Medicago truncatula: one gene and its partners. The main gene of each other region encodes a partner of the protein of the gene in region 2 in a complex. Links are inferred from orthologs where the notes say so. Each region holds a gene or a part of one and is shown on either strand. Other genes may lie near its edges. The genes, in order: serine/arginine-rich SC35-like splicing factor SCL30, serine/arginine-rich splicing factor SR45 and SNW/SKI-interacting protein.

What was found.
Region 1: serine/arginine-rich splicing factor SR45 (region 2) and serine/arginine-rich SC35-like splicing factor SCL30 share a complex: the UniProt entries of both Arabidopsis thaliana proteins name them as parts of the spliceosome. The link is inferred for Medicago truncatula from reciprocal best matches to the Arabidopsis thaliana genes SR45 and SCL30.
Region 3: serine/arginine-rich splicing factor SR45 (region 2) and SNW/SKI-interacting protein share a complex: the UniProt entries of both Arabidopsis thaliana proteins name them as parts of the spliceosome. The link is inferred for Medicago truncatula from reciprocal best matches to the Arabidopsis thaliana genes SR45 and SKIP.

Annotation. Positions count from the first base shown.
Region 1 is NC_053046.1:35,352,757-35,363,328, reverse strand, and holds serine/arginine-rich SC35-like splicing factor SCL30, read right to left. Parts: upstream 6,407-10,572; 5' UTR 6,264-6,406; intron 6,142-6,263; 5' UTR 6,128-6,141; coding exon 5,874-6,127; intron 4,563-5,873; coding exon 4,395-4,562; intron 4,250-4,394; coding exon 4,206-4,249; intron 2,696-4,205; coding exon 2,617-2,695; intron 2,542-2,616; coding exon 2,341-2,541; intron 2,248-2,340; coding exon 2,133-2,247; 3' UTR 2,132-2,132; intron 2,048-2,131; 3' UTR 1,772-2,047; downstream 1-1,771. Other genes in the region: 16 kDa phloem protein 1, read right to left, coding at 335-400, 594-660; probable dual-specificity RNA methyltransferase RlmN, read right to left, coding at 8,272-8,460, 8,569-8,705, 8,810-8,949, 9,188-9,291, 10,276-10,392. UniProt on the Arabidopsis thaliana protein: Involved in intron recognition and spliceosome assembly. Probably active at the 5' splice sites.
Region 2 is NC_053043.1:34,989,120-34,999,691, reverse strand, and holds serine/arginine-rich splicing factor SR45, read left to right. Parts: upstream 1-3,698; 5' UTR 3,699-3,804; coding exon 3,805-3,995; intron 3,996-4,460; coding exon 4,461-4,541; intron 4,542-6,060; coding exon 6,061-6,149; intron 6,150-6,501; coding exon 6,502-6,548; intron 6,549-6,632; coding exon 6,633-6,713; intron 6,714-6,809; coding exon 6,810-6,969; intron 6,970-7,064; coding exon 7,065-7,302; intron 7,303-7,380; coding exon 7,381-7,455; intron 7,456-7,558; coding exon 7,559-7,675; intron 7,676-8,305; coding exon 8,306-8,369; intron 8,370-8,446; coding exon 8,447-8,481; intron 8,482-9,357; coding exon 9,358-9,427; 3' UTR 9,428-9,761; downstream 9,762-10,572. Other genes in the region: protein NARROW LEAF 1, read left to right, coding at 897-1,137, 1,235-1,735, 2,351-2,787. UniProt on the Arabidopsis thaliana protein: Involved in 5' and 3' splicing site selection of introns, and may bridge the 5' and 3' components of the spliceosome. Isoform 1 is required during flower petal development and isoform 2 is involved in root growth.
Region 3 is NC_053043.1:11,528,391-11,538,962, reverse strand, and holds SNW/SKI-interacting protein, read left to right. Parts: upstream 1-4,718; 5' UTR 4,719-4,880; intron 4,881-4,997; 5' UTR 4,998-5,001; coding exon 5,002-6,843; 3' UTR 6,844-7,159; downstream 7,160-10,572. UniProt on the Arabidopsis thaliana protein: Splicing factor involved in post-transcriptional regulation of circadian clock and flowering time genes. Associates with the pre-mRNA of PRR7, PRR9, ELF3 and GI, and is necessary for the regulation of their alternative splicing and mRNA maturation.

The DNA of each region.
Region 1 (10,572 bases), on a different chromosome or scaffold from region 2:
TTAACCCATGTGCCCATGTCGAGGACTGACACAACCCTAATGTATGTGATTACATTCAATCAATTTCATTTTCTTAAATTATTATTGATGTCTACATGTCGGTGTCAGTACTGTGTCGGATGTCTTTGTTTCATAGTACAAACACAAGGCAATTGATAAAAAACAACTAAAAGTTTTATCTTTCTCTATCAATCCTAACAAAGGTTTTTTTTTTTTTTTTTTTTTTGACAAAGGTTTAAGATACCATAAACACAGACACACACAAATGCCAAAAAGTTAACATTTCATGTCAAGATTGTATGAACTTTGTGAGAGAATGAGGAAAAGGACTAACCATGAACAACACTGCTCTTGTGCTCTTGCCTTTTGTATTGTAACAGAACATATGGATCCATGCGAGCTATCAACAAAAAAAAAAAATCATTTTAAAAAGATGATAAAAATAGCATTTTCAACTTGCATGTAAATCTGAAATGTCAGATCAGAAGATAAACCAAGAAAAAAAGAAAATTTAGAATCAGAAAAAATGTTTTAAATCTGAGGAAAAACATTGCATGCAAACATTAACTAAATTGAAAAAAAATGTTTTGTACCAAAGATATCAGTCTCTTGAAGACCCTTTGCTTTCACCAAAAGCACTTCCATGAACCCAATTGTCATCTCTTTCTCACTCTTCAAATCTCTATCTCTTCTTTTCTCTCTCAACAGTGGAGAAATGAAATAGAAGAAGTTTCTTTGTTTTGGTACTAATTAATAGAAGGAAGAAAAGTGAAAGTCAATATACATCAGCAACCCATAATATGACAAAAACGTGTGTAACTAGAAGATTTGACAAAGACAAAGCCACCTTACCTTCAAAGGCAAAGAATGTGAAACTGAAAGTATCCAACAAATAAAGAAATACTAGTTGTTAGTTAGCCACGTAAGAAATGGAAAGTCATCAATCAATGCTATTACGCGTTTTCCATTTTCTGATCCTCACTTGTACAATAATCACTTGCTTGCTACATTTGAGTTTTCTCATCATTACAAGAAACATTCAGCTTTACTAAATAACAAAATTAAGGGAACCTTGGAACATTTCTGATTTTCCTTTTTGAGAAGAAAATGCCAGTAACCTTGAACATTGAGCTTTACTAGTTTTTATCACACGGAAATGCAATATTCTCAAGTTTACATTCCTAAAACAAAATTTATGACCTTAAACACAAATTTAGAACAAATGCTTACAGAGTATCTCGCTCGAATCAAGTCTAACTAGCAGTCACAAGACTTTTATATAGGCTACATATTATAACATATAATTTCTGATTGGTATGGACGTATTTTGTAAAACTTGAGTTCCTATAGTTACTACATCAATGAAACCATGAGATTGTTACACTTGATACCACATCTGATGACATAACAATCAAGAGTTAAGCAACTCCAATTTAATTGCAACAATAAGTTCTTCGTCCAACATGATTGATTTAGAACATTTATTGGTTGCTAGAATTGGTTCTGTTGAGCAGTTGAAACTTACATCATTGCATATTCTATTTTTTTTTTTACTTCAAATTAACCACTTGCCCATGCTAAAATGGTGATTGTAACACATGCTAGCATTATACATTCTTTTAGACAAGATGAAGGTATCAATCACACCTAAAACATACATCCCAACACTGTAGCTTATGCAAAATCACCATTTTAGCAAACCTAGTACTATGTTAGTTACCAGTCGTTGACGTACAACTGCATTAACTATGTTGAAATCATTTGAAGAGTGTTTGACATGAAAAATAAAAGCTTAAAATCCTCAACAATTCATCAGTTACATAGGTATTACACAAGTTCAAAGTCCAAAAAGCCCCACATCACTACCAAGTTTAAAGATTATACAACCATCCATCATAATACGCTAACATTTCAATAACAAGCTTAAGGATTATACATCCATCCATCACAACAATTCGAAACTTTTAAGCAGTCTACATGTTTCTGATAAATTGAAGAAATTATACATAAGCCCAAATGCGCATTGCCAATAAACCTGCAGTGCAACCTGCATGAATAAAACCATCAAAATAGATTCTAAACAGAGAAACTGATATCCTAATAAATATACTCTTAACATTAAACAGTTTACCTCATCTGCCACGTCTAGGTGACAAATCAACAGATCTTGATCTAGATCTAGATCCTGGGGGTGATCTTGATGACTTCCACGGGCCTCTATCCGCCTCAGATTTGTACACAGATTTCCTTTATACAGAACAAAGTATAAACATACAGCGCAAGAGAGGGGAACCCAGCACATTCAATTAAAGAAGCTAAACAGAAAATAGATGGGCTCACTCAGCATATCCATTGCTTTGATTCTGATCAACATCATTGCCATAACCTAGAGGAGAATACGACCTGCGTTTATGATCTGCATCTCGCTCCACAGGAGGACTTCTAGGAGGACTTCTAGGTGATCTAGGGCGTTCTGCATGCCTTCTAGGAGAAACAGAGTAGTCACCTTGCCTTCTTGGGGCAGGAGAGAAGGACCTGGACCTGGCATATATCAATTCAAAACCATGACTTCGTGATTCAGTAACATATAAAAGGAAGTTATTTGAAGAAACTTGCCTTGAGCGATAGCGGTTTCTAGAACCAGAGTGATAAGGAGGTGATCTTGATCTGGAAATTGAGCGAGATCGAGAACGCCCTGATGGATTTGACATGATTATAAAATTGTAAGTATTTGTAAGAAATGCAGAGCAATGCCATATTACATTTGGGCAACCTAAGAACTAAGATTCAATATAAACAATGCTTCATACTCCCTCCGTCCCAAATTGTATGACGTTTTGGGCATTTCACACATATTAAGAAATGTAATTAATATTGTGTGGTAAAGAGATATTATGAGTTGTTTTACAAAATTATTCCTTAATAAATGATATAGGAAAGATAAATGAAAAAATTGAAAAAAGAAAGAGTAATAAATAGTTAAGGATATAATAGGAAAAGTAACATTAATGTTTCATTGGTATTCTAAAGTGACATACAATTTGGGACAAATATTTTTTCTAAAGTGACATACAATTTGGGACGGAGGGAGTATATATATATATATGAAAACATTTACCAAGATGAATGAAAAATTGTATAACTATAAAGTGCAGCTGATTTAGCACATCAAAAGACTAAACGTGGTCAACGAAAGTTGAGGAATGGGAGAAAGAACTGTCATAGCATCTGAAAAATACCTCACCACACCATGAATGATGAATCTAGTGTTGTAAAATATGTCCAAAGCATCTTATCTTTTATCTTAAAATTAGTTTTCCATATTCTCTTACTTTCATGATTTGTTATTTTTTACATATTTCATTAGGATTAAGAGTCTAGTAGAGTAATACAGTAATAGATTAATATAAATAAAGACTCGTGTTTTGACTTCTGTAGTTAACATTCAACATACCATTCCTACTTCTATCATAGTTCTGAGTACCCCCACCTTCCCTTCCTCTATGCCTAAAACTAGCCCAATGACTTTAACAAGAAATATGAAAAAGCATATCTTCAAGCATGGCACCTATGCATACTCTTAGTAAAGTAGCTTAAAAATTGGCAGTCCCCAATGAACGCCTTGAAAAATTAGCAGTATATGTATCCCCATCACAACAATCATTGATGAGATCTACCGCTCCAACAAAAATCAGTCTTCCAATCCTGTTATATCTAGTATGGTTTTCAGTAGGCTAGCTAAAATCAATTAGTTAAATAACTTTTAGACACATAGAAAAGTTTAGTATAGGAGCGGGAATCCTGACAATAAATCTCTGGAGCATCAATACTATGACAACAAAGGTCAAGGACACAGTCTGAATACTATTTCCTACTCACGAAATACATGGATATGACATTATAGAGAGAAAAAAAATACATCATTGTTTCTTCACATCAGCATAAATACAAAATAGGCTTAAATAAGCCACAATTCTATTGTCAAATTAATTCAGATAAAGCACCCATGTCACACACTATCATTCTATTGTCAAATTCAAGCAAAAAGGACAAATTCTAATGTGGTGGAAGAACAATATGCATCACAAGTGCAGGTGGAACAAATTTCATATCTAGCATCTAAAACATGCTTCAGCCATAAACAGCATTAGGTGTGCTCAGTATAGGTTTCAAGAAGTTAATACAATTTGTAAAAGTAATATTACCGTGGTAGGAAGACCTTTGCCCTCCATAGCTCCCTCCTGGTCCTCTGTAAAATACAAAAATCATGCAAATACATATAAATGGACTTTTTTTTTTGGTGGGCGGTCTTTAAATGTGACAAAGTAAGATATACTACAGATTTGTAATCTTCTACATGAGGGCAGACAAAGCAGAGAAATCAAAAGACATACCTGGACCTACTAGTCCTATGACGCATCTCCTCTGGCCTTTTTCTTGTCTCTGCAGCCACAACAACAGATATTTCCCTTCCAGCAAAAATTTGTCTGTCCATATGGTACTGCGCCTCAGAGGCCTCATATGCATCCACAAACTGCACGAATGCAAAGCCTCGAGGTTGTCTGTACGGGAAAAAACAGAGCTTCATTCTAACACTGCTACAAAAATATTGGCAGAGAAAGACTGCAGAAAATGCTGATTAGGCAGACTTCGCATACCACAGTAACCACCTCAAATCACATTACATAGTATAGCTTTCTTTAGACAACCTATTAATGGCTCTCTTGAGACATGCACACAGCAGTGGACGCTGAATTACTAAAGCCGCTAAAATCCAAAGCTTAGTTGTGACTGGGCCTTATCTTTACATTCAAGTAGTAAAGTGACTTGAAAAATTCTTCAACATTCTTGTTGTATTTATAATCACTTGAATTCAAAGCTTCCCACAACCACAAAATAAAAAAAACCTCCTCACAAAGTCTTCAATAGGACAACCAACCAACTTGCATGAAACTTGTATTCATTGAGTTGCGTAATTATATAGATTCTCTATCTTGGTATGACATTAACACACTTGGAAACCAACAAGTTAAAGAGTGAGTAGTTCTCTTCAAATGTGGGGCTTGGGCTTGTTTTAACTTCAATTTCAAACCAACATACCCCCTGACAAACCAGTCAAAATTAATTCATAATGCAAAAGTTTAAACTTATAAACCAAAAAAAAATTACATTTTGGTCCCATCTATTTTCAAATTCACAATTTTGGTCTCCCCGCATATTATCTTTTACAGTTTTAGTCCTTGCACTTTCAGACTTTGGTCCCTCAATTTTGAGTATTTTAAGTACTTCTGGTCTCCAACATAACGATTTTTGGGGACCAAAAGTTTGGAAAAACCGTAATACTAAGAGACCAAGTGCCTGTTTGGATTGGTTTATATGAACTTATCTATTGGAATAAGTTGCTTTAGCTTGTGACACTGTTCATAAACTGTTTTCAGCTTATTTTCATAAGTTCTCCAAGATATCTAATGAAAATAGCTTATAAATTTTACGAAAAGAATTTCAATTTATTTTACATTCTGCTATAGAAATATCTTATACATAAGCATTTGTGCTTTAAGCTGCAAATCAGCTGTTAATCCAAACAGCGCCCAAAAGTACAATAAAACAATTACAGAAACCAAAATCCCAAAAAATAATTCGCAAGAACCCAAGTCATGAAAAATAAAATAGGGAACCAAAATCGTAAATTTAAGAAAACAGGGGGCCCAACACCAAGACATGACACAGAACAGACCACCCCAACCCAACAATCAACCTGTCAAATCTAACTCAAATCTGAAAAACACAAACATAACAAACAACACACAACAACAAAACACAAACAATAAATATGAATAATTACGCAGAGTTGATCACAAATGTTAGCTCACCCAGAGTAATAATCCTTCGGTATGTAAACATCGCGAACCGGTCCAAATCGCTCGAACGGCGCTCTCAGCTCCTCAGGTCTACAATCCAAAGGAATGTTCCTCACCAAAAGACTTCCATTGTTGCTTTCTCTACGTCTACCACCACCTCCACCACCACCACCATATCCCCTCCTACCACCACCACCTCCACCGCCACCCCTACCGCCGTATCCTCTCCGTGGAGGACTGTAGTAACCTGGACTGTTCCTCCGCATCTCTTAACCTAACCCTAATTTCAAAATTAACAAAGAATTAATGCAAATTAGCGTGAATTCGAATGTGTTTAGTGTTGTTTGAAACGAATTAAAGATTGGAATGATGAAAAAGATTATGAATTTAGAAAATTGTTACCTTGATTTGAGTGATTAGAGAGAAAAGTACCAAAAAATTCGTATGCACGGGAAAGAATAGAAAAGAAAAAGAAAGCGTTGAGAATGTGTTTGTTTTTTCATCTGAGAAACCTATTTTAAACCCTAGATTAGATTTCACGTGACCACTCCAAACGCACCGTTTCATTCATAAGTAAATATTATATATATATTTTTAATTATCTTTCTTTTTTTGAGGGAATTTTTTTAATTTACACACCTCTTATTGAAATTTTTGAGTTTGGTCATTCACAATTTTTTCTGTAAATTAATATGAAAATATCATGGATTATTTTAAATTTTATTTTTCTTAGAGAATAAATTAGTTCATGAGAAAAGTGTGATTCTAGATCTTAGTCAAACTCATTTCAAATAGATTTACACAAACTTATATGAAGTACTTTTTTTTTGTTACAAGTACATTTACATAACTTAATTCATGAACATTCTAAGTTATTAGATTTTATTTTACTTAAAATCAATTCAAGCACATTTGTCTAAACTCAGTTCAAGTACATTTTTATAAAGTCAAAATTATAATTTTAATCTATAATCTTTAAATAAAATATTCATAAACAAAGATAAATGAAAGATTATAGATTTAAAGATTGAGAGGCCATAAGAAAATAAAGTCATGAATTTGAAGCTTAAAAATTCATATGCAAATAGATAAAAAGGACAAAATTGAAATGAAAAAAAAGAGATAAAAGACCAAATTATTGCCTGAAATTAAGTTAAAAGATTAAAATTATAATTTTGCCTTTTCATAAACTTAGTTCAAATATGAGTTACTAGATTTTACTCAAACTCAGCTAGAGAACACTTACACAAACTCAACTACGTAAACATAGTTCAAATGTGTTTACATAAACTTATTTCATGTACCATATATACACTTTGTTTTTCCTTTTTTGAAGTCATGTATACTCTGGGTTGCTAGGGTTTACTCAAACTCAATTCAAGTATGTTTACATAAACTTTTATGTACGTTTATGCAAATTCTATTCTTCAAGTACTTTATGCTAAGAGTATTTTGAGTTAGAAGTAAGCAAGAAAAAAGGTGTTGTAATTACCAAATGACTGAATTATATTACATTATGAAATTTCTACCGGAATCCAAATTCTATTTTTTCCTTCACAATGCCAACTTCTTGGAAAGGCTTTCTGCTGATTTTGAGCAATGCAAGGAGAGGGAACAAGATTTACCCTTAACTCAATGATAACAATAAACAATCCAAACTCCTTAGCTCATTGAAGAGCTTGAAGAAGTTCTATGGCCTCACCTTCCTTGACGGTTCCCATACAACTGCTATACCATAAAGCAGCTGTTTAGGATCTGAATTCGTGAGATTTTGCATTTATAATTTGCAAAAACTAGAAAACTTTAACATTGTAAAAATGACATGGTGCATAGTGAACCACTTAAAGGATTTGTATTCCAAACAATGCCTATGTTTTAACAGCAACAAAAAACAATAAATTAACAAAGGGGGAAAAAATCTGTTTTAATAGTCAGATTTTTACAAGCTGGATCAGCAGTTGCGACATAAATAAATAAATAAATATATAATGCAAAAGGGGTCCAATACATGAAAAATATCTCCCAAGTGCACCATATGAACTACAAAGTCCTAATCACTTATAACCAACAATATTTGCTTGTGGTAGTAACTAATTTCCAGTAGGTTGTTTCTTATGAAAATTTCTCTTAGCTGCCAAAGAATCTAAAGACTTTCTAAGTTTCCAAACCTGCATACCACAAAAATAGAGCTAACAACCACATAGATGTTTCTCCACATTTCTCTGCTAGCAAGAAAGTTGACATTACAACTCAGGCAGTAACAGGAAACACCTCTATCCCTTCATAATTGGTAATTGAGATTATACTCATTTTGGTTGATCAAACCTCTCATTGTTTTAGTCCGAACTTGTTTAGTATATGCCATATAAGTAGAAAGTTGATAACGTAAGCAGCCACGAAACTGACACTATCAACCTGTAACTGCAAGGTCCATATTTGGAAGCTGGGATTCCAGATTGTTGTCAGATTCTGTGACCAAAGGAGTTTTCTGGAAATTGTTCCGTAGCTGACCACAAGCTGCATTTGCGTCCAGTCCTCTGGTTTGGCGTACACTAGTGGTTATTTTAGATGACTCCAAAGCATTAACAAATGCTTGCACCTACCAAATTACAAAGTATGGATTAAATACTCTAAAATTATTGAATACATCAAGACATAAATTATAAATCGTAATCAGAATGAATGAAAAATAAGAAAATTATCATACTGCTTTTCTGTAAGGACGGCGAAACTCAGAGCCTTCTATTGGATTAAAAGGTATAAGGTTGACATGATAACCACTGCCATATTCATGTAGTAGTTTAGCGAGTTCTACTGCATTGTCTACTGAGTCGTTGATTCCGGCTGCTCAAACATAATGCCAGGAAAGTGGAAAATACATCGTAAGAATTTCATTAACCTTACTGTACAAAGGAGAAACAAGAATTTGTTGGAAACTTTCTGTGTACCTAAAAGTGCATATTCAAAGGAAACCCGTCTACTTGTTTCGTGGAAGTATTCCTTGCAGTCTTTCATAAGTGCATCCAATGGGTAAGACTTTGCACTTGGAACAATTGTCTCCCTTAGTTTCTGGTTAGGAGCATGTAGGCTGAAGTAAGATACAAAAGGGAAATCATATGTTAGAAAGAGAATTATTTACATGAACGAGTATGAAAGAATCCACTAAAACAAGCCACCGAATGATATATTTTGCAGCCACAAATCAGACCAGACCAAACACCAGAGTATGAACAGTGAACGAAGAAAGGCATGAAATAAAGGCATATTGCCTATTCATTGTGAAGTTCTATTTCTTGACTGACAAGATCAGAATCAAGGACAATTACCTCACAGCTAAAGTGGATTGAAGTTTATGAGTAGCTAACTTCTTTATTGTATTTGGAACCCCCACGGTGGAGATAGTCATCATTCTTTGCCCAATTTGTATATCCTACAAGAAGCCCAACCAAAATCCAACATTAGCACACTTACATGCTATTACTATATGCTCTCTATCATCATAATAAAATGAAATATAAAAGGTGAAATAAGACCAAGCAAAATGTTATTCTGATCAGTAGTGTCAATCACCAATCGCAGAAGATAGCTGTTTGTTCAAATTCTGCTATGCAACAGTGCTATAGCACAAATATAGTTGCTATTTAACAACATTTTGCACTAAATAGCGTATCACGGAGCAAAAGCGATTAGTTCAAATTCTGCTACGCTATATTGTTATACCCGCTACTTGACAACACTGATGCTGATACATGATTTCTTTTGACGGATGAGTATATGTATGCATAAATATTTTTATGCATGTGAGACTGTCTATTCTGTTCTATCTCGTTTATCCTTTCCAATGGAACTAAAACATATCACTTTTTACGTTGCAAGTGTATACTGTTCTGCTCTACTTTTAAGTTTTAACATGTACCAAACATAAAACATAACTAATTTGCTCTCTTATGTTCTGGCCTGTTTTAATTTCTATAAAACTTCTGGAAAGAAAAAAAGAAGATCCATAAAAAAATCCATGTCCCCTCCTCCTCACGAAAAGATAATATTACGTAAAACAACCAATTCAGTAGCAAGAGAACCTAACACTTACTAAGATGGAATCAAATTCAGTAGAGTAATATTAGATTTTTATATTGGGCTTAGCTCATCCTTACAAAACCGATCTATAAGGTGAGGAGTACCACTCATTATAAACTCATTTCAGGCTCTATTTCTATTCTATGCAGATTTGGTTTTTTTCCCCAATAAGTAACAACCAATGAGTCCCAGAGTTTAAATGATAATGTTAACCTAGTTAAGAGCAAAGATGGCAGATGCAGGTTTAAACTCTAAAAATATCATATAGAGAACTGTTACAATTACAAGCAAGCATTTGATAAGGAAATAATGTCACATATGATAGGCATTCATTCACCTTATTCAAGCAACGGTGTGCCTCAAGTACTGCCTTCAGGTTTAACATTGGTTCACCCATTCCCATAAAGACTACATTAGTCACCCTGCGTTTGAACACCTCCTCAATGGCCAAGACCTGTTTAAATAAAGAGCTCGCTTAAAAACAATTGCGAACCCGAAAATGATCTCATTGCTTTATTTGATCTTTTTCCTTTCTTTTCTGTTAACATTTTTATTTCTTTTAATTAAATCTAAATTTACAGATCACGTGGGAAATCTAACATCAAACTACTCTAATGTATGTATGGACAGAAAC
Region 2 (10,572 bases):
TTTGCTCTCTTATTTAATGTTTCCTATGGAAACAAATCATCTGGTTTACAAAAGAATTTTTTTGATTTGATTAATATCGCATGCATGTGATGATTAAAGAAGCATTTTTAGCCTAATACTTGGCAATCTCTTCCACTAAAAAATCAGAGTGTAATTACTGCACTATTGTCCTTAATTTATATCATATTCATATGCTGTAGTGGTTTGTCCTAGGAAGCTTAGCCATGCCTACACGAGTCTAACGTTGCAGGTTGTGTATGCAAATTCAACAAAACATCTTTTGTCAAGATTCATTTAACTTGACATAACTAATAAGTGCATGGACTTGACCTTCTACGATAGACTCGTGGAGATATAGCTATTAGATTCATAATTTCTTTAAATTTTAGACCTTAGATTTCAAGCTTCATCGTGTTACATGCAGTATCTAGTGCTTCAATGAACCTGTTTTTATATCTTTACATGTTTTTAATTCTCATATGGTACCTGTAGACGGATGTCTATGCTACTAAACAATGGTTTTAGTATTTTAATTGGAACTAAACCTTAAATCTGGTTTCCAATGCCTTTTCTTTGGCAATCTCATTATGCGAATGTCATTGGCCAGACATTTCGGGATATTTTCTTTCAGCCTAATCTCTACCAGTTTATATTTCAAAATTTTCTGTCCTGAATAAACAACGAAAAATTTAGGGAGGCCAGAAATATAGATCTTGTGGTTTTATCGGGCTTGTCAAAAGAAGTCATTTGAGATATTTAAAGAGTGAAATTACAGGGTTTGCAAAATCTCTTGCGATTGCCAGCTTGCAGAGTTAATAGCAATATTTCTCATTCTCATTTTTCTGTTCTATTTGGTGAATATGTTCCACCTCTGACCACTTACTTCCTTGGTCTAGGTGGCAAGCCAGGAGACATACGGAACTTTGGGTGCCATTGTGAGGAGCCAAACAGGTAGCCGACAAGTTGGTTTTCTCACAAATCGTCATGTAGCAGTCGATTTAGATTATCCAAATCAAAAGATGTTTCATCCTCTTCCACCCACATTGGGACCCGGGGTTTATCTTGGGGCAGTAGAGAGAGCAACTTCATTTATAACTGATGAGCTCTGGTATGGAATATTTGCCGGAATAAACCCAGGTAACATAATTTCAAAAGTCTGATTGATTTAATCTGATTACTTGCATTATTTTCGCTACACATACTCATCACATATCATGATGTGTTTCCCCTCCAGAGACGTTCGTGAGAGCCGACGGAGCATTCATTCCTTTTGCTGATGACTTTGACATGTGCACTGTTACTACCTCAGTGAGAGGCGTTGGAGATATCGGTGATGTGAAAATTATTGACCTACAGTCTCCAATTAGTACCCTTATTGGAAAACAAGTAGTTAAGGTTGGAAGAAGTTCTGGCTTGACAACAGGAATTGTTTTGGCGTATGCCCTAGAGTACAATGATGAGAAGGGTATATGCTTTCTAACAGATTTTCTTGTTGTTGGTGAAAACCAACAAACTTTTGACCTTGAAGGAGATAGTGGAAGTCTCATAATGTTTAAAGGTGACAACGGTGAGAAGCCACGACCAATTGGGATCATATGGGGAGGGACTGCTAATAGGGGCCGCCTTAAGTTAAAAATTGGGCTACCTCCGGAGAATTGGACTAGTGGGGTTGATCTAGGACGTCTTCTTAATCTACTTGAACTTGATTTGATTACAAGTGATGAAGGACTTAGAGGTTTGTCTATCTTTCACTATCACTATCACTATCACCATCATCATCATCGTTATTTCAATTTATAATTCTCAAATACGGGGTTAGAACTTATATTAGGTTGTTGTTCTCATATATGAAATTGTGTTGATGCCTATAGGGCATAGGGTGGGTAATTGAATGAATTAATCTGATGATATGATTTGGTAGGGTAATAGTGTGTTTAGCTATGCATTGATCAGCTGTATTCTTAAATGTTTCAAAAACCAGATTGAACTGTCCAGTTCAAACGGGAACCGACAAGTTCGCTGGTTGGTTTGATCCCGGTTTTACCACAGTCTGGTTGAACCATAGTCAAACACAGTTTGATTCAACCACACACATTTTAAATTTATATTTTATTCATCATTTGGTTCAACCGTGATCTCTGGTTCGATTTTTAAAGCATTGTTTTCTTGTTAAAAACCAACTAGCATATAATCATTTTTTTTTTTAATTTACTATATTCCTATGTTTCTGTCTCCTAATAGTGAAGATAGCATTGAAAATGTTGAAAACAATTTTCTATCAACTGATCAGGATTATCTTAATGAAGTGAAACTAGAGGTTAAATTCTAAAATCAATATCTTTTTGTGTAGTGGCGGTGCAAGAACAAAGGACTGCATCGGCTACATTTATGGGCTCTATTGTTGGTGATTCCTCAACTCCTGATGGTATGCATCAGAAAGATAGAGTGGAAGACAAATTTGAGCCTCTTGGTCTTCAAATCCAGTCTATTCCCTTAGGAGTTGAACCTAACAGCCAGGAAATGAAACCATCAACCATGGAGGCTGAATTTAAATTAGAAGACGGAATCAAGGTAGGTGGTCCCAGTATTGAACATCAGTTCATTCCGAGTTTCATCGGGCGGTCACCGTTGCACAAACACACTGTGCATGACAAAGCTGCAGCAGCAGAGAATTTATCTTCATTGAGGAATGACTGTAATGAAGATTTATGTGTTTCGTTGCAGCTGGGTGATAATGAAGCAAAGAGAAGACGTTCTGAGGCATCTACTAGTACCGAGGAACCTTGATTAAACAAATTATTAGCTTAAGCTTGAAAAACTGACTTGTTATAACAGTTAATCACCCTGGAATGCGTTGTTTATGACCATTGGGAATTTGGGATACTGTATTTGTATGATTTAGCAGCTTTGACAGAGGCTAATGACAATGATATCAGTGGAACTCACAATATGAAGTTTTAAGTGAATTGTGGACAGAGGGCCATTCAAATCTTACTATGGTTTAATTTATGTTGTAAAGTTACTTTTCTCATTAACGTGTGCAGACTTTGCCAAGAATGTGATGGCTTAGAACTGACCTAAAATGTTTTTAGGCTTAAGGAAAGAATATGAATGCAAAAAGCAACCTCAAAAGTAGTCCTTTGTATTGAGCAAAAAAGGATTTGGCCTTCTAAATCATTCTTTCCGCCATTTTTTTTTAAACTTGGTATTTGGGTCTAAGGATATGCTAATTTGAAGGATAAACGTCGTAATGACTAACGAAACAATAAATGTTGACATCTAAAGTATTCAAACTTGAAACTCTTACATAAACACACTCGCATAATTATGAAAAAACATTCGTCCAAATTTATTCATTCAAATGAAAAATAATTATGATGTTATTCAATTTTTTTTTCTTTTGAAGTTAAATTAGCCCGCTAAATTAACACCGGAGATAATCCACTCTCATGTTTTTAAGTTAATACCACCAGCCTAACCCGAATGGAAAGGGGTGTAATTTTCAAGAAATAAGTGGAACTAAAAAGTAAGTCTCAAATTTTTATTTTAATTAATAAACTTGCTTGGTTATGATGATGGTTCCATGAATGAAATTAACCCATGAAACTCGGGTAAACCCGACCCATTCAAACTTCATCCTGACCCATAAAAAATGGGTAAAAATAAAATAAAATAAAACTAAAATCTGTATCGTTCATTCATTTTCTTTCTTTCTTTCTTCTTACCTCGATTCACTCCACACAAATCCAACACTTCACTACCAGCTAGGGTTTATAGAGGGTTTCACGCTCTCTCTCTTCAACAATGGCGAAACCTGGTCGAGCTCGTCGCTCACCACCATCAGGTTCCGTCTCCGGATCTTCTTCTCTCTCCTCCTCTTCCCGTTCCTCTTCTCGCTCCCGCTCCCGTTCCAGATCCTTCTCTTCCTCTTCTCGCTCTCCCTCCCGCAGTTCCAAGAGCCGTAGCCGTAGTCCTCCTCCTCCAAGACGCAAAAGGTACATCCATCCTTCGATTCAACTTTAATTCTTGCCAAATCGTTCAAATTTTGAACCATTAGAAAAATCGAAGTCAATTTGATTTTTTGCGTAGAAGAACATGCATGAAAATGTTCAAGATGAAAACAATTATGATTTTCAGATGTTAATTTGAGAATGTCATATTTTTCAGTTTTTAATTTTCAATTTTGAGTTCGGTTTAGGTTTTCAAATAGGAGAAGTTGGAAATGGAAATCTGCCCAGTTTTAAATTTTAGTCCAAATTATTGTTTTGATGAATATGATTTTGATCACTGTAATGTAAATGTGGTTAATTGGTGTACACTGTACATTATATTTTGAACTGTACGCACAAATCACGGTTCTTTTGGTTAAATATTTCGTGGGAGTAATTTCCATGTTGTTGATTTTAGTAAAGTTTATATTTTTCAGTTCATATTGATAGGGTAGTATTTTTGTTGTGTAGTTCTGCTGAACCAGCTAGGCGAGGTCGATCTCCTCCTCTTCCTCCACCTCCACAGTCTAAGAGACCTTCTCCTCCTCCAAGGTAAACTCATTTCAAATTTGCTATTTCAATCCAACTTTTTTCTAGGACACTTCTTGTATTTGTGTATGTCCCTCGTGGAGATGGAGACTGGGAGTTTTTATTACTAATCATATTTTTCATATGCCATATCTTGACGTTGGAGATATGAAATTATTCTTTCATTTTTGCTTTTTATATACTATATCTTAACTCTTGTTGAAGTTTAGCATGGTATGTCTTGTTAGGTAATAAGATACAAACTAGTAGTGGAAAACCGCAGTAGCCAATTTATATTGTCAACTGTTAACAGTCTACTATATATTGAGGTCATCACCGACTAAAGTGATATATGTAAGATGGCCAGGGATATGGATTATATACAAGGTTGTCAAAGTTGAGATTCTGCATAGGATTGGAAAAGGGGTAAAAGATTGTAAAACGTGAGATCACGAGACAAAGGATTGTAATATAAACATGATAACAAAATTATTTAATTAATAAGTATAGTAATATTTCTTTTAAAACTCAAGTCAGAATTTTGATGTTTATTTTGTAGTTATTGTATTGTTGAAATTTCTAAATTTATTTTATATTTGAATGTAATTATAAAAGAAGGGATATAATGGAACATTATAGCACAATTATAAAAAATCCTAGTCACATGTTAGCAAGAGATATAAGACTTAGATAGATCTTATAAAACTTAGGCAATCCTCATCTTACATGCTTGTTTTATGTCATTAAGTTGAATTTGCCCAAAATTTAAGATGGTATCTTAGATCTGATGTTCGACCACCGACTATATTGGCCACACTCCAAACTCAGTAGTGCTGAGCGAGGATGATGTGTATTAGAAAAACAGCGTCCGCCATTTACTAGAGATAGTGCTTCATAAGATCTTATGAAGTATGGACTCTCCACACTTTATAAATTAGTTTTGTGGGGTTGAGTTAGTGTTGGGTGGTAAAGAACCAGCACGAGAGTAAAATAAGTGTAGCGGAGATGAGAATGTTTCATTCAGAGAGAGAGAGAGAGAGAGAGGGAGGGAGGGAGGGAGGGAGGGAGGGAGGGAGAGGGGGAGGGAGAGGGAGGGAGAGAGAGAGGTGTAGCGGAGATGAGAATGTTTCATTGAATGTGTGGTATGAGTGGACATGATAGAATTAGAAATGACAATATGAGAGAGAGAGAGAGAGAGAGAGAGAGAGAGAGAGAGAGAGAGTAAAATAAGTGTAGCGGAGATGAGAATGTTTCATTGAATGTGTGGTATGAGTGGACATGATATATGTAGCGGACCCAATTTTCAAAATACTGAATATACATTGGTTAAGTTTGTTTTTATAATTTTCAGTGCGGACTTTTTTCATCATATCTTTAAGATGTGGTAAATTTGTTAGAATATTTTTTTATTTTTCATCTCACATTTTTAAATTTAATTAAACATGCTGTGATTGTGAGCCTTCTAAGTTCAACAATTGACAAGTTTTCTTTCGATTTGTAACTTCTATCTTTTGCTATGTTTACTTATCATGCTTCATCTCAGGAAACCTTCTCCTGTACGTGAGTCTCTTGTTCTCCACGTTGAGAAACTCAGCAGGAATGTCAATGAAGGCCATTTGAAAGAAATTTTCAGTAAGTTAAACTCTTTCACTTCTGCTTTCGTCTTCAACTGTGAATCGAGATACATTTTTCATTTGAAACCAGTGTCTCATGGTATTAGGATCCAAAATTTAAGCCCAATGCAATTTTTCTGTTTCTTTTATTTTAGTTTTGATCTTTTTGTCATTTATACTTCAATATAAGTATTCATATTATTAACTGGGAGCATAGTTGCTTCATATCTATGCATACACTCTTGAAATACCAATAATCGAGAGAAACTTTTTAGTAGCCTCTAGTAGCTTGTGTGTGTAATTGGAAGGGAACTTTTAGTGACCTTTATATCTTAAGGAGCTCATATCCTCTTTTGCTGACCTGTTTTCAGGTAATTTTGGCGAGGTTGTAAGTGTGGAGTTGGTGATGGATAGAGCTGTAAGTTTGCATTTAATTTGGCATCATAGTTCTAGAAGAATTTAGAGTCGTAGGTTTTTAAATTTCTTTTAAAAAACTTTCCAGGTTAATCTTCCAAAAGGATATGGATATGTGCATTTCAAGACAAGAGGGGAAGCTGAAAAAGCATTATTGTACATGGATGGTGTAGGTTGCTTTTGCCCGAGTTGGATTAATTTCCACAATCAAGCTTGTTGGCTGCCGCATTTGGAAATTGATGCCTTTGTTTTTTTTGTTATGCAGGCCCAAATAGATGGCAATGTTGTTAAGGCAAGATTTACTCTACCTCCAAGACAGAAAGCTTCACCACCCCCAAAAGCTGTTGCTCCAAAGAGAGATGCACCCAGGACTGATAATGCTGGTGCAGAAGTTGAAAAAGATGGGCCAAAGCGTCCAAGAGAATGTATATGCTTGATATTTGTTGAACATTTTTTTGTTTTATATTTATCATATTGGTGGTTTTTATATTGGTATTGAACTAATTATTCATGGTACCAGCTTCTCCTCGGAGAAAACCTCCTCCCTCACCACGAAGAAGATCTCCTGTGCCTCGAAGAGCTGGATCTCCAAGACGACCAGAATCTCCTCGCCGCCGTGCAGATTCTCCTGTTCGTCGTCGATTAGACTCTCCTTATCGTCGCGGAGCTGGAGACACACCTCCTAGGAGGAGACCTGTGTCTCCCGGAAGAGGTCGTTCTCCATCTCCACCACCAAGGCGCCTTAGATCCCCTGCAAGGTTGGCTTGTGATTGCATGCATGTTTTTCATATACAATTTCATTATACAGCCGACTCAATTAATTTTCATTTTTGTAGGGTATCACCTCGAAGGATGCGTGGAAGCCCAGGCCCAGGTCGGAGACGTTCTCCTCCTCCACCTCCAAGACGCCGGTAACCATATTTTGAGTGCTTATTTTCCTCGTTTATTGTTTTTCAATTTGCATTTTAACATGCCATTGATTGCTCATTGGAAAAATAAATGTTTTTTTTATAGTTCACCTCCTAGACGAGCCCGTAGTCCTCCTAGAAGATCTCCAGTTGGTCGTAGGCGTAGTCGCTCTCCAATACGTAGATCTGCACGCTCACGCTCAAGATCATTCTCACCTCGCAGGTAATTTTGTCTCATGCAATATCTCAGTTCTCTAAAATGATTTATTTTTTTTTAGCATAATAATATTTTGATAGAAGCATAAAATAAAGTGTTGTAAATGAGCATGTGAACATATGATGTTTGGACCCGAGGTGTTTTGTAGTTATCCAAAATTCGGCATTCCCTTGAATGGTCATGTATGTAATCCTTAGTGAAGATTTAATTGATGCTTATTATGTAGGACTGAATATTTTATATGATGTTTGGACCCGAGGTGTTTTGTAGTTATCCAAAATTCGACATTCCCTTGAATGGTCATGTATGTAGTCCTTAGTGAAGATTTAATTGATGCTTATTATGTAGGACTGAATATTTTATAAAATGAAAAATGAATTTTTTACGTGATATAATCATGGCAGTTGGGGATTTCGATCTTGTTTCTTAGGAATCAAGGTTCCTTTAAAAAAAATCTTGTTTCTTAGGAAGAAATGCTTATTTTACAGAATACTTCCAGTGTCCACCAACATTTGTAGTGCATATGCATCCATAAATGCAAAGTTTTAATTCCTAGTCATGTTTTGATTGATTGAACTTTGCATGATAATACTTTGAAAATGTACCAACGCCTGGGTAAAATTTTCTTATTGACAGAGGCAGGCCACCTATGAGACGGGGAAGGTCATCATCTTACTCTGATTCGCCAAGTCCTCGCAAGGTTTGTGCCTTTTACTTGGTGTAGATGTCATTATTTTACATGGTCAATGATTCTAACATTCATAACTTTGACAACAGGTATCCCGGAGATCAAAGAGTCGCAGTCCAAGAAGGTAATGTGTACAATATTTGGTATAATGGTTTTCATGTCTAATCTTTTTTGTTATTATTTTTATTTGTTTGGTAACATTCACTGCCGTCTTTTCTTCTATTCTGATTACAATCTCTGGTGCCTTTTTATAGTTACTTCTGATACATTTATCACTACCATATTTTTTTAACTTGTTTATAATGCAATCATTATGACCTCAAACAAGATCATGTAAGATTCGAGTTGTTTTGAAGAATTTCTACTGGCAACTCTCTTTTTTGGAGAACCTTATAAAATATAATGCAAATGAAACAGCACTATTTAAAGCTTGAAAGTCGTAATAACCAAATGCAATTGAATGAGCAGCATCTTTTTTGGTGCCTGTCAGACTCCTACTTTCTGCCGAATTTAAGCCGGAATTTGTCGCCTAACTTTGGTGTTTCATTGTTCAAACACAGTACAAGGATGCATTTTTAAGTAGATGTTCATATGCTTAGGATTGATATCATATCTCTCCTCAATTGGCATTTTAAGCCATTGGATTTTGTGTTCCATGGTTTTTGAATGACATTCTCGTATCAAATTCAGCTATGCTATAGCGCTATGGAAAGATTGCAGATTGCAAACGATGTGGGTTACGACAGATTAGATTTTAAGAAATGGATGTTATCTTATTTCAGTCCATTCCACCTTATACCACCAATTAAAATATACCCTTGTTAGAAGAGTTGGCATTTGTACATTTTCATTAAAGGATATTTTGTCATCAGTAATGACAGCTTTAAATTTAACTTTGTAAATTTGCTTAGAATCACGTTTGTTTCTTTCAGTTTTATGGTTTTATGATCTGCATCTTCATTTTGGATTCTTTACTAATGTAAACTGCCTTCTAATTCAGGCCTTTGAAAGGACGAGCCAGTAGCAACAGTAGCAGCAGCAGTTCACCACCCCCAGCTCGCAAACCATAGATAATTCCTGTATATCTACTGTCTCTATATTGATACATTTATCAGGATTGTGTACCAGCAACGAGAAGTTATTCTAGGTTAAGTTGTTAAGGGATATTTGTCGCATTTCTTCATGGCTGTCTGTTTCCTAACATGTTTTCAAATTAGTGCTTTAAGTAGTTTGAAAACCGTGTTTCACTTTATTAATCTGCATTTCGGTTGATTTTTGCAATGCTGTTCTGAAATACAAAATTTGGGAGACGGTATTTTAACCTCTTGCACCTGTGGAGTTCTATGTAATTGACAATCTGAGTGTGCAAATAATGTGTATGTTTGGTGTGGATCTAGTTGGAAATTTCTGTATCAATGCTTTTTAGAATTAGTGGGAAATGCCAAACTTAGGTGAGCTATTTGTCTGACTATGCACCTGTTTGCTTTGCGTTTTCCTTAAAACCGCGGCAATTCACCACGTTAAAAGCAAAAACTTCAAAAGCTAGCTTCTTGAAATCATGGCACTTTTGCTTTAGAAATCCTGTAGCCGTGCTTTTGTTGGTTGCAACCGCCTAACCAAACAGGCATATGATAATGCAACGCCTTGCATGCCATTTATAATTTTACGATTTTAAATGTTTTTCTGTATTGAATTGCAGAGTTTGAAAATTGTTAAGGTAATTGGAAGATCTTTTCTACCCTTACGTTTTAAAAAAAATCCTGCACGTTAACTTATGAAATAGTTTTGGGATGAATATTAGGAGCTCCCTAAATGAACCACGAAAAATTTAATGAAATTCGTGTTCAGAAAGTGCCTCTAATGTTTAACTTTTCTTATTCTTCAAAACATCACAAGAGGTAATTCAACTTGGGACACTTTTTTTGGTAGTGATCAACTTGGGACACTATTGAATGGGAAATGCGGACATGCCTCTCCGTTAACCTTTGCTGGTTCTAGTATTAAAAATTTATATTTTGTATTGTAATGAACTTAAAAAAAAAATGGTTTTTTCAAATTTGATGTCAAATATCATTTCTCTAATAAAAAGGGGAAAAGTTTAATAGACAGACATTTGAGGAAATAGAAAATAATGGTGTGTAGTCTACGGAGAACTAACACATATATGACTAGACACTCCACTTTAACAACACGTGAAACCCACCTGGGCTGGTCC
Region 3 (10,572 bases), about 23 Mb from region 2:
CATTTTTGGTTAATTGCAGATATTCTTAACAACAACATTCTCTTTTAACTTCCCTAAAAAAAAAAACATTCTCTTTTAACTATTTCAAAAAATAAAATAAAATAAAATAAACTAAAAACATTCTCTATGAACTACCACTCGTGCATGGATCATGGCCTTCTTCAATTTCTTAACGACCATCTTGAAATCCAAATCCAACCTATCAATAATTTAAAATATTATTCAATTTCATGGCGTTCTTCAATTTCTTGAGTCTTCCTTCACAATATGATTTATGGAAACTATTTGGTACACATCTAATCTAATAGACTAATACACCTTTATTCTCATAAGCTTATCTCAATTGGTAGGAATAATGCATAATATATGCAAGGTTTAGGATTCAAATTCAGACACTACACTATCAAAAAAAGACTGATACACCTCTTACACATTTCTAGCAGGATATAGAGGATCAAGATGTTATGATAGATATGATATGATATAACTGTAATGTGATAAGCAAACAAAAATAAAGAGAAAAAGGATGTTGAAAATAGATGTACAAATATTTATTCACTTTCCGTAAAAAAATAAGTATATGATTAATTCTTTTTTTCATTTGTGAATACATGATTTATTCACTTGTTATATTGTTTACATTTTTCCAAAGGTTTAAACACATTTTTGACCCTCTAACTTTGCACTAATTGTAATTTTGGCCCCCTATTAAAAAAAAACACATTATAGCCCCCTAAGTTTCTCCCCTATTGCAACTTTCAATTTTGGTCATTTAAGATCAACTATTCAAGACAGTAGAAGATCAAGAAACCGGTCCCAAGCCACATTATTTGCCCTATAAATCTGAAATTTGCTCAACAAAACACCCACTTGTTTTTACAGTATTGAATGGTTGATTTTAAATGACAAAAATTGAAGGTTGCAACAGGAAAGAAACTTACGGGGCTGGAATGTGGTTTTTTTAATAGAGGATCAAAATCGCAACTAGTGCAAATTTATGGGGCCAAAAATACGTTTAAGCCTTTTCCAAAATGTTACTTGTAGTTGAAAAAAATAAAACATAAACTGTAAATTTGTTTTGCATGTATGAAATATGCCTTGACAACTTCAGATTCTAGGCCCCTAAAAAATACTTCAGTTTCTAACTAACTCTTTATTGATTTGATTTAGTTGATAAAAAATTGGTCCATATCCTATAATTGTGTTGGTTCCATTGTGATGTCAATGTGATAACCTTTTTAATGGACGTCTTATAAGTATTTATATAAAAAATTCTTTAAGCATTGAAGCGTGTTTTTTTTTTGTTACAATTGAAGCATGTTACAATCCAACTTACTTAAACTTTTTTTTTTTTTTTGGTCTTAGATGAAGTGGTAATCCATTGAAAATAAACACACACACAACTGTGAGGTCCCGGGTTCGAACCCGGGTCATGACGTCCGACCTTGCAATTTCGGCATTTGCCAGTTGAGCTAGGACTTCTAGACACTTAAACTTTTTTATAAAAAAAAAAACATATATATTCTATTTATATATAAATTAAGCTAACTTCATATCAAATTCAATTTGGGGGAAGAGAAATGGTCATCCTTGTCATCCATGCCTCGAAAGCCTTTTTTTTTTCTATGAGATTTTCTAATTTAATATTTTTTTTAACAACAAATATTAGTATTGTTAGTATTATATGTGTTGAAATTTTGGAAGTCTTACGACGTTGAATGAGTAATCATATTAGACTTTTGAGCAACCAAGGGAAACACTATTTTTACTTAAAATATTAGATGTGAGTGTTTTCCATTATACTCACTCCCTCCCTCTATTTAAGAATCCATTCGATTTTATTTTTATCCTTAAATATAAATCTCTTTTTAAATTATTAGATGTATTTATTTTTTTTTTTCCTAAACATACTCTTAATTAATACTACTAACTTGTCTTGAAATTTGAAAAATCAAATTTAATACATATACAAACAAAGGACAATTTAGTAATATTAACACACAAAACAGACACATTATTTACACCGACAACTTTTCATAAGAAATGTGAAAAAAGCAAAATGAGTTTATATTAAGGGACGGAGCGAGTATGTTGTTCAACTTCTCATATCTATCAATGTTAGCTTGTAATTCAGTTTTTTTTATTTTTTGTTACAGCTTGTAATTCAGGTTTGACAAAGCATAATTTTTTTTTAGAGGACCTAAAATCATAAACATACTTTATCATTTTCTTGCACTTAATTTCATGTGTAGAGTAAAAAAAAAGACTTTAATTTTAAACTAAATTTTCGGATTATTTGAAATCTTAGAAAAACTCAAGTTCCGAGTTAGAGACCAAGAGTTATTTAAGAATAATGAAAATATAAGTGAGATGAGTTTTATGCTCCGTAAAACTTTTCACACGTGCTTTTAATCAAATTATGTCAAATAGATGAATATAAAGAGTATTCTTGAACATAACTCAATTAATAACGGTATGGGTTGATGTTTGAATAAGAGATTTTTACTTATTCCTTTTAAAAAATGAATTCTAGTCTTTAAGCTATTTGAAAAAAAAAATAAAGATATTTAAAAACTAATCTTAAAAAGTGGCATCATGAAGTGATTTTGATTAAATCGATTTGTATATAACAAAATTAAATTGTTAATGTATGCAAATTAAATTAAAGATCATTCAACCAAGCTTAAATAGTCAATAAACTCCACCTAAAATGAATTGTTTGAAAAAATTAAAGTTCATTTTTAGATGAAATAGTTTTTTATCTGATTTTATTTACTTCTTAAGAAAACACTCTATATTAATAAAGTTTTTCCCTATATACCAAATGGTAAAAAAAAAAAAAAAGAAGAAGATAATTTTAAAATTTACATACCAACTTTGGCAGTTAAAAATGTGTTTTAATCTATGAAATTCGGATACGTGATACGAGTGTGGGTATGATACGATACGAATAAGTAAATACGCAAAAATTTAAAATTGAAGATACGATACGACTAAAATACATTAACAATTTTTTTATACAAAAACTTATATGAATGTAAAACATTCGAAGAAAAAAACATTCATTACTCTTAAAAGTCACAATTTTTAAAAATAATACATGTGATCAAAATAAAAAATAAAAAATAAAATTTTCATATAAATAATATTATATTTTCATTCATATATTATGATATCAACATAAGCATCATTAAAATAACGCAACACAAATTTTGTCTAATGTTGATTAATTAAATCTTCTCTCTCATTACCTTCATCCACAAAAATAAAATAAAAATTTAAGTGGTTCATCCAAAAATAATTATACTATTTTAGATCTAAAGTTGAATCATATACACTTCCATTGAATTTTCATAATATAGGTATTTGATTGAATTTTCATAATATACGTAGTTGTGAAGTATTTTATAAGCATCTTTATGTATTTGTGAAGTATCATCTAAGTATTTGCTAAAATATTTTTAAAAAATTAAAATAATTAATTCCAACACTCCATGGGCATATCTGTGGAGTATCCATATTTGAATCCGATATGGATGCGTCTCATGGAGTATTCGGGCTTCATATGATTTAATTTATGACTATTATTTTTCTCACCCTATCTACTTCTCACGCGCCATATAATTTTTATAAAATACCCATGAGATTTCAGATTATAAAATCTGAACACAGTTTGGATCTGTTCGGATCATACAATCCGAAATATGTTTATATATAATCAGCAATTAGAATCTCTTCCATTTTAGCAGTTTTGAATTTTGCTTTTAAAAAACATGTCAAATAAAATCATAAAAATACCACAAAAAAATTCTAAAAATCAAAATTAAATTAATGAAATTTTTTTTTTTCGAATTTTTATGAGATAAGAAAAATTGGTCTAAACGATGGAATTTTAAATTTTGAGGGACGGAGTCTCGTAAGAAGTCCCTTCTATGGGAATTTTGATCCTTGATTTTTTTTCTTTTAATTTTCTGGGGAAGTATCGCAGCAATCTGATCAAGTATTGCAAAAACCAGATTTTTGATAAGAACGACTAAAAATGATCTAAAATAAAAGGATGGGGAAGATTAATATGATCCTTAAACTTGTTATCCATTTTACAAAAATACTCATAGCCTATTTGGATGTGCGGTAAAAGTGTCTTTCTCTCGTCCCAGGGTAACTTGGCCGTGGTTTTAACAAGTTACAAATTGTAACTTCTTGGCAAATGTGGTACTCCACCGCTAAAACAAACACTGCATCAGAAGTTATGCTGGTAGAGTTAATATTATATAATCCGAACTATTTTTCTATTGAAAAAGGATGTTTAGGGGTGTCCTGATTCTATAATCCGAAAAAGCAAGGAACGCGCTCTTTTTGTTAAGTTTTCGGATTTAAAGAATCTAAATTGGTGAAAAAGTCATTTTTTTTTCACTCCATAACAGATAAAAAACTCAATTCAAATTATAAAATCCGAAATCACATAGACATTTTCCTACAAAAATAGGACGCACGAGAAATAGTTTGAGTGAGAAAGTAATAGTTTTAATTTTTTATATATAACATAAGATTAGTCATTAGTGTAAAGAGTTTATTTTTTTGAGAGAAGTGTAAAGAGTTTATATGTGGTTCATGAGCTGGTTTTATTATTGAACCGGTATAACTAAGAACCCGGGTTAATCGTTATCTTGTGTATAATTTTTTACTAGACCGACATTGGTTTATCTATATAAAAATCAGAAATTAAAAATTAACAAAAATCTCAGAACCCGAACGAAACACACTGAAGATTGAAAAGTCTCAAAGGAAAATCAAAATCGCAAATAAACCCTAAATCGCGTCACCGTCATCTTCAACCACGCGCCACTGATCCTCACTGCACCGTCCTCCGCCGTTCACAAGTAATATTTCTTCAACCAATTTGTTTCTATTAATTCTTATTTTAATCGACGTTAATTATCGATTCCATAAATTAGGGTTTCGTTTTTTTGATTTTTTGAAATTGATTTTTGTTGCAGAACCATGGCGGCTCTGAAGGAACTCCTTCCAGAACCAAAATCATCCACAACAACATACTATGATCATAGCAACGATCCATGGTTTAAGCAAAGATTCACTGCAACGGAAGAGGAGAAATCCGCTGCAATCGCACCCAAAATTGTACCACCGTATCTGAAACGATCTGGTTTTGTTCCACGAAAGGTTGAGGATTTTGGAGAAGGTGGAGCTTTCCCGGAGATCCATGTGGCACAGTATCCGCTTGATATGGGAAGGAATAAGAATTCGAAGCCGGGTTCGAAGATTCTTCCGGTTACGGTTGATGCTCATGGTAATGTTGCTTATGATGCTATTGTGAAGCAGAATGAGAATGCTAAGAAGATTGTTTATACCCAGCATAAGGATTTGATACCGAAGATTTTGAAGAATGATGGAGATGATGAAATGGAGGATGGTGAGGACGAGGATGCTCAGCGTGAGATTGATGAGACTATGGAGGAAACAAAGGCGGCGCTTGAGAAGATTGTGAACGTGAGGCTTAGTGCTGCGCAGCCGAAGAATGTTCCGAAGCATAATTCGGATTCTAAGTATATAAAGTATAAGCCTTCGCAGCAGAATGCGGCTTTTAATTCTGGTGCGAGGGAGAGGGTTATTAGGATGGTTGAGATGCCTGTGGATCCACTTGAGCCTCCAAAATTTAAGCATAAGAGGGTTCCTAAGGCTTCGGGTTCACCTCCTGTGCCTGTGATGCATTCACCTCCGAGGCCTGTTACTGTGAAAGATCAGCAGGATTGGAAGATACCACCTTGTATTTCGAATTGGAAGAATCCTAAGGGTTATACTATTCCTCTTGATAAGCGGTTGGCTGCTGATGGGAGAGGGCTTCAAGAGGTTCAGATTAATGATAATTTTGCTAAGCTTTCTGAGGCTTTGTATGTCGCAGAGCAGAAGGCTAGAGAAGCTGTAGCTATGAGGTCTAAGGTGCAGAAGGAGATGCTTTTGAAGGAGAAAGAAAGGAAGGAACAGGAGTTGAGGGCTTTGGCTCAGAAAGCACGCTCAGAGAGAATTGGTGTGGCTCCTCCGGCTGCTGCTGTTCCCGTTGTTTCGGAAAAGAGTGGTGTGGATGATGGTGATATGAGAGTTGATTATGACCACAGGGGGGATAGAGGGGATAGAGACAGGGAAAGGGAAAGGGAAAAGAACTATCCCAAGGAGAGTCGGGAAGAAAAAGAGGAGCGGCTGGGACGTGAGAAGATTCGTATGGAAAGGAGAAAGGAGAGGGAGAAGGAGAGAAGGATAGAAGCTAAGGATGCTGCCATGGGAAAGAAGAGCAAGATTACTAGAGATAGGGATCGTGATATAAGTGAGAAAGTTGCTCTTGGTATGGCTTCCACCAAGCAAGGGACAGAGGTCATGTATGATGAGAGGCTATTCAACCAGGATAAAGGAATGTCTTCTGGATTTGCCACTGATGATCAGTATAATGTGTATGATAAAGGCTTGTTCAATGCACAGCCAACACTTTCCACCCTGTACAGGCCGAAGAAGGATGTTGATAATGAAGCTTATGGAGGTGCAGACGAGCAGCTGGAGAAGATTATGAAGACTGATCGCTTTAAGCCTGACAAATCATTTACAGGGACTTCTGAAAGGGCACCTCCTAGGGATAGGCCGGTTGAGTTTGAGAGCGAAGAAGCTGATCCATTTGGTCTTGATCAGTTCTTGACAGAGGTCAAGAAGGGTAAGAAGGCCATGGAAAATGTAGGTGGGGGAGGAACTATGAGAGCTAGTGCCGGATCTTCAATGCGAGATAGTTCTGATGGAGGTTCTGGCAGGACTCGCATTGGATTTGAAAGAGGGCGTTAAGTGGATCAGTGTTGAAGGCTAATTGTTATCATGCTTAGGTTGGCATGTCTTTAAGTGGATTGTAAGGATAACGTGGTTGAGTTATTTATCTTACTTTTTCTTGCCCCAAGCCTATGGACCACCTTATAAGTGGTGAAATGTACTTGTATTTTGTTTTGAAACCTTTTTATGTTATTTATCTTTCCATGGAGTTATATTCAGTGAAATGCAATGTTCAAATTTTAAAGTAGATCTCCACTATTTGAATGAAATGTATTTGGCTGTTACAATGTACTCCATGATATATCTAGTTTTTTCATGCCTGATTACCGGATAATACATTTGCTTTCTGCCATTGCTGTTTGGTTTATGCCATTAATGGACTGTTATGGCTGGTAATGAGGATATTGACTACAGCTGTTGAGACTAGAGTGGAACTGTTGGCTTTCTGTTTTCATGTTATACTAATCGATGGTTCTCTACTAGAATGAAATGTAATCGATAGCTTTAAATTTATTTAACGAGTTATCAATTTTTTCAATACTTTATAATCCATTTGATTGCTTGTTATTGCTGTTTGAGTTATGCTATTGAAGGAGAAATTGTCAATTGAGGTGTAAAACAGTGTTTAATCATTACCTGACCCAAGGATTCAAGTGGATGTGTATTTTTTTTTTTTTTTGAACTAAGTGGTTGTGTTTTTTGATTTGATAGAACTGTGTATTAGTAACCCCTCCATAGGACAACATTTGATGCCCACAAAAAAGGATGGGGAACAATATTATTTTTAGTAGTTCTTGACAACTATGTTGAACTAACTTCTCTAGATTTGTGCACATGAAGGCTCAACCCCATCTGCTGTATATCGTGGTTTTACTACTTTATAGTCTTGGGAAAATTATATCAGACCATCATGATTGTAATGTGTGGAGTGTAGCCTGCACTAGAATTGAAAATTACATTAGATCATCTTTGCATACCATTTTCATCCAAGCTTCCTGTCAGATGGTACAGGCATATGATTTTTTGTGACATATTTCTATATTGTATAAAATTGGCTGATTAGGGTGTGCTAAATTGTAAAAAAATGCTTGGTGCTTAGGAAGTTGCTATTAATTCTAGTCATGTGTTTCAAAAGGTGGTGGATAATCCTGTCAATTACTTCTGTAGTGAGTTAATTTTTTCCAGTCCTGCTATTTTTTGAGGTAGTTTTCGTAAAGTCTAACAAATTTGTAAATTGTTCTAGCGCGAGGTTTAACTAATAGCCTGATGTAGAACTTATTGTGAACTGTGTTTTACTAAATTACAGAATGAGTCCTTGCATCTTCTCTGTGATTGCTCTTTCTCAAGCTTTTGATGTTTTCACTAGATTAATTAAGCTTCAGCTACCCAGTCTGTCAGTTGATTCTCATTCTCTGGTGTAAGCATTTGTTCTTTAACCGTCATCAGATTTGTATTGTTTTCTTCTAGTCACTCCATGAGTTTTCTGTGTTGAAATGGTTCTTTTGATTATCGATGCTGGAGTTGCCAGTTCCGAAAGTGTTATGCCGAATGATACGGTAAAGACTGATGAAACTGGGGACACAAATAAGGAATGAACCTCAAAGAAGAGCAAGAAGAACTAGCATGTGGAAAAGCCTCCTAGCAAGTCACAAGTTAAGAAAATGATTTCTGTTTTACTTCTGAAAACATCCATCATTGCTATTCTCTTGTTTTGCGGGGTGCCTTCTATGTGGTAATTTCCAAAACATCCCTATCATTCATTTCAAATTCATAATTAATACATTTTTGAACTTCAGGTTAATACTTAATACGTTCTCGAACCATTTGATTTTCAGATTATCTTATTATTTTTCTAATACATCATTTTTTTATTTAACTCAAATGTATTTCATAATTGTTAATTTGCAATTTACTTTTGCTTTTAGATAAAGTTTTGGTTGCTTGTTAAAACTAAGCTGGTCATACTCAATTAGGTATATAATGTCTTTTATTGATCTTTTGTTTTTGTCTTTCTGAACTGAACAACGTTCAACAAGGCATCTTCATGCTCCAATGTGTATGTCAATAAATAAAGTCTTTCTTGATGTTCACTGTGACCTAATTATCTTGATCTCACCTGTAAGTTTAGTATATGGGTAGCAGCAGAAGCTTAATCAGCTCCTTCTATTGTTTTAACATCACGTTCACATGATGGACTTCATGTTTTTAATTATTTTTGAGAGGCTTATCCTTATCCTTGGTTGAGCCATAACACAGAATGTCATAAATCTTCTTTTCATGGTATTTCCATGTTTTTCTACTAAAACATTTGAATTTGCTTCTATACACACTTTTTATCTGTGTTGTAACTCTTTGGAATGAACTATCAGTGTCTTTTTTTCTGACAAGTTCAACATACTGATTAATGATCTTCTATCTAAAAAAGGTTGTGTATAATAAGCTCTGATGGTTAGCTTGCATGATTTTCTGTACTAATTCTGAAATTCATGTTTTAATTTTTTCTTCTGCTATGTACAAAATGTGATGTGATGTGAGTTGCCACTGAGGCTGCCGATGATGAAATTTCACTATTCTGTCTTTTTCAATAGTTTGAGATCATGGATTGTGAAGTGCAATTGAGACTAGAGATGGTTTACTTGGGCATAATCCATATCTTGTAAACAAAATATGGTTCTATGAACATTTTGGTTCTTTCTCATTATATAATCTTCTTTTCCAAACTGAACTCATTATCCAGTTCAGTGCACTAGGTTCTATTGACCCGAATTGTCAGTGTATTCATAACCAATCTGAAGCTTGGTTCCATTTCTTCTTGGGCTGCGATGATTTCCCAGCACCGATTGATCTGAAGCAAACACCATTAGCTAATAATGATTCAATAGCAAATAATTTAGATGAGCATTGGAAGAGCTCATACTGTATCACTTTTTTTTATTAAGTATTCATTTGGGATTTTAGTATCTCTAAGAAACTTTGAGACTCATTTATTTTATGCTTTGATGGATTTGGGATTTTATGAACACACAGATCGAAAACAACAAAGTGGCACTGCTTAACCTATTTCAGAGCTTTTTAGCTTGTGTTATGGCTTTTGTTAAAGGGTTAAATATGTTTTTGGTCCCTACATTTTACGCGATTTTGAGAATAGTCCCTACATTTCAATAAATGTTTTTAAAATCCCTACATTTTTCCTCCGTTAGCGTAAATAGTCCCTGTTGTCAAATTTCTAACGTGATGTCAATGTTGGTGGTTCAATCTCGCCGGAAAACGGCGGGGAACTTCACCACGGTCTTTCTCCGCAACGTCGTAGATGCGGATCGCCGGTGTTCGTGACATTTCCAGTGAAATATGTTGGTTTAGATGGAAAGATTTGGAGGCCGAAAGCGATGATGTTATCGTTGAAAGTGTTTGCTGTTGCGGGTGTGGAAGGTGTTGTGGTGGAGATTTGGTGGGGTGGGTTTGAACTTGTTATGATGGCTTGTGTTTCATCAATATGACACTGAAGGCAGGGACCAATTGCACCAACGAAAGAAAAATGTAGGGATTTTTAAAACATTTATTGAAATGTAGGGATTATTCTCAAAATCGCGTAAAATGTAGGGACCAAAAACATATTTAACCCTTTGTTAAATAATCTAAAACACAGTCGGAATGTAAGATCAGACAGCTCAAAAATACAACTCCTTGATTGCATAACTACATATAATCCATTTTCATAGTACTACACTTAGCATCAAGAATCATTCA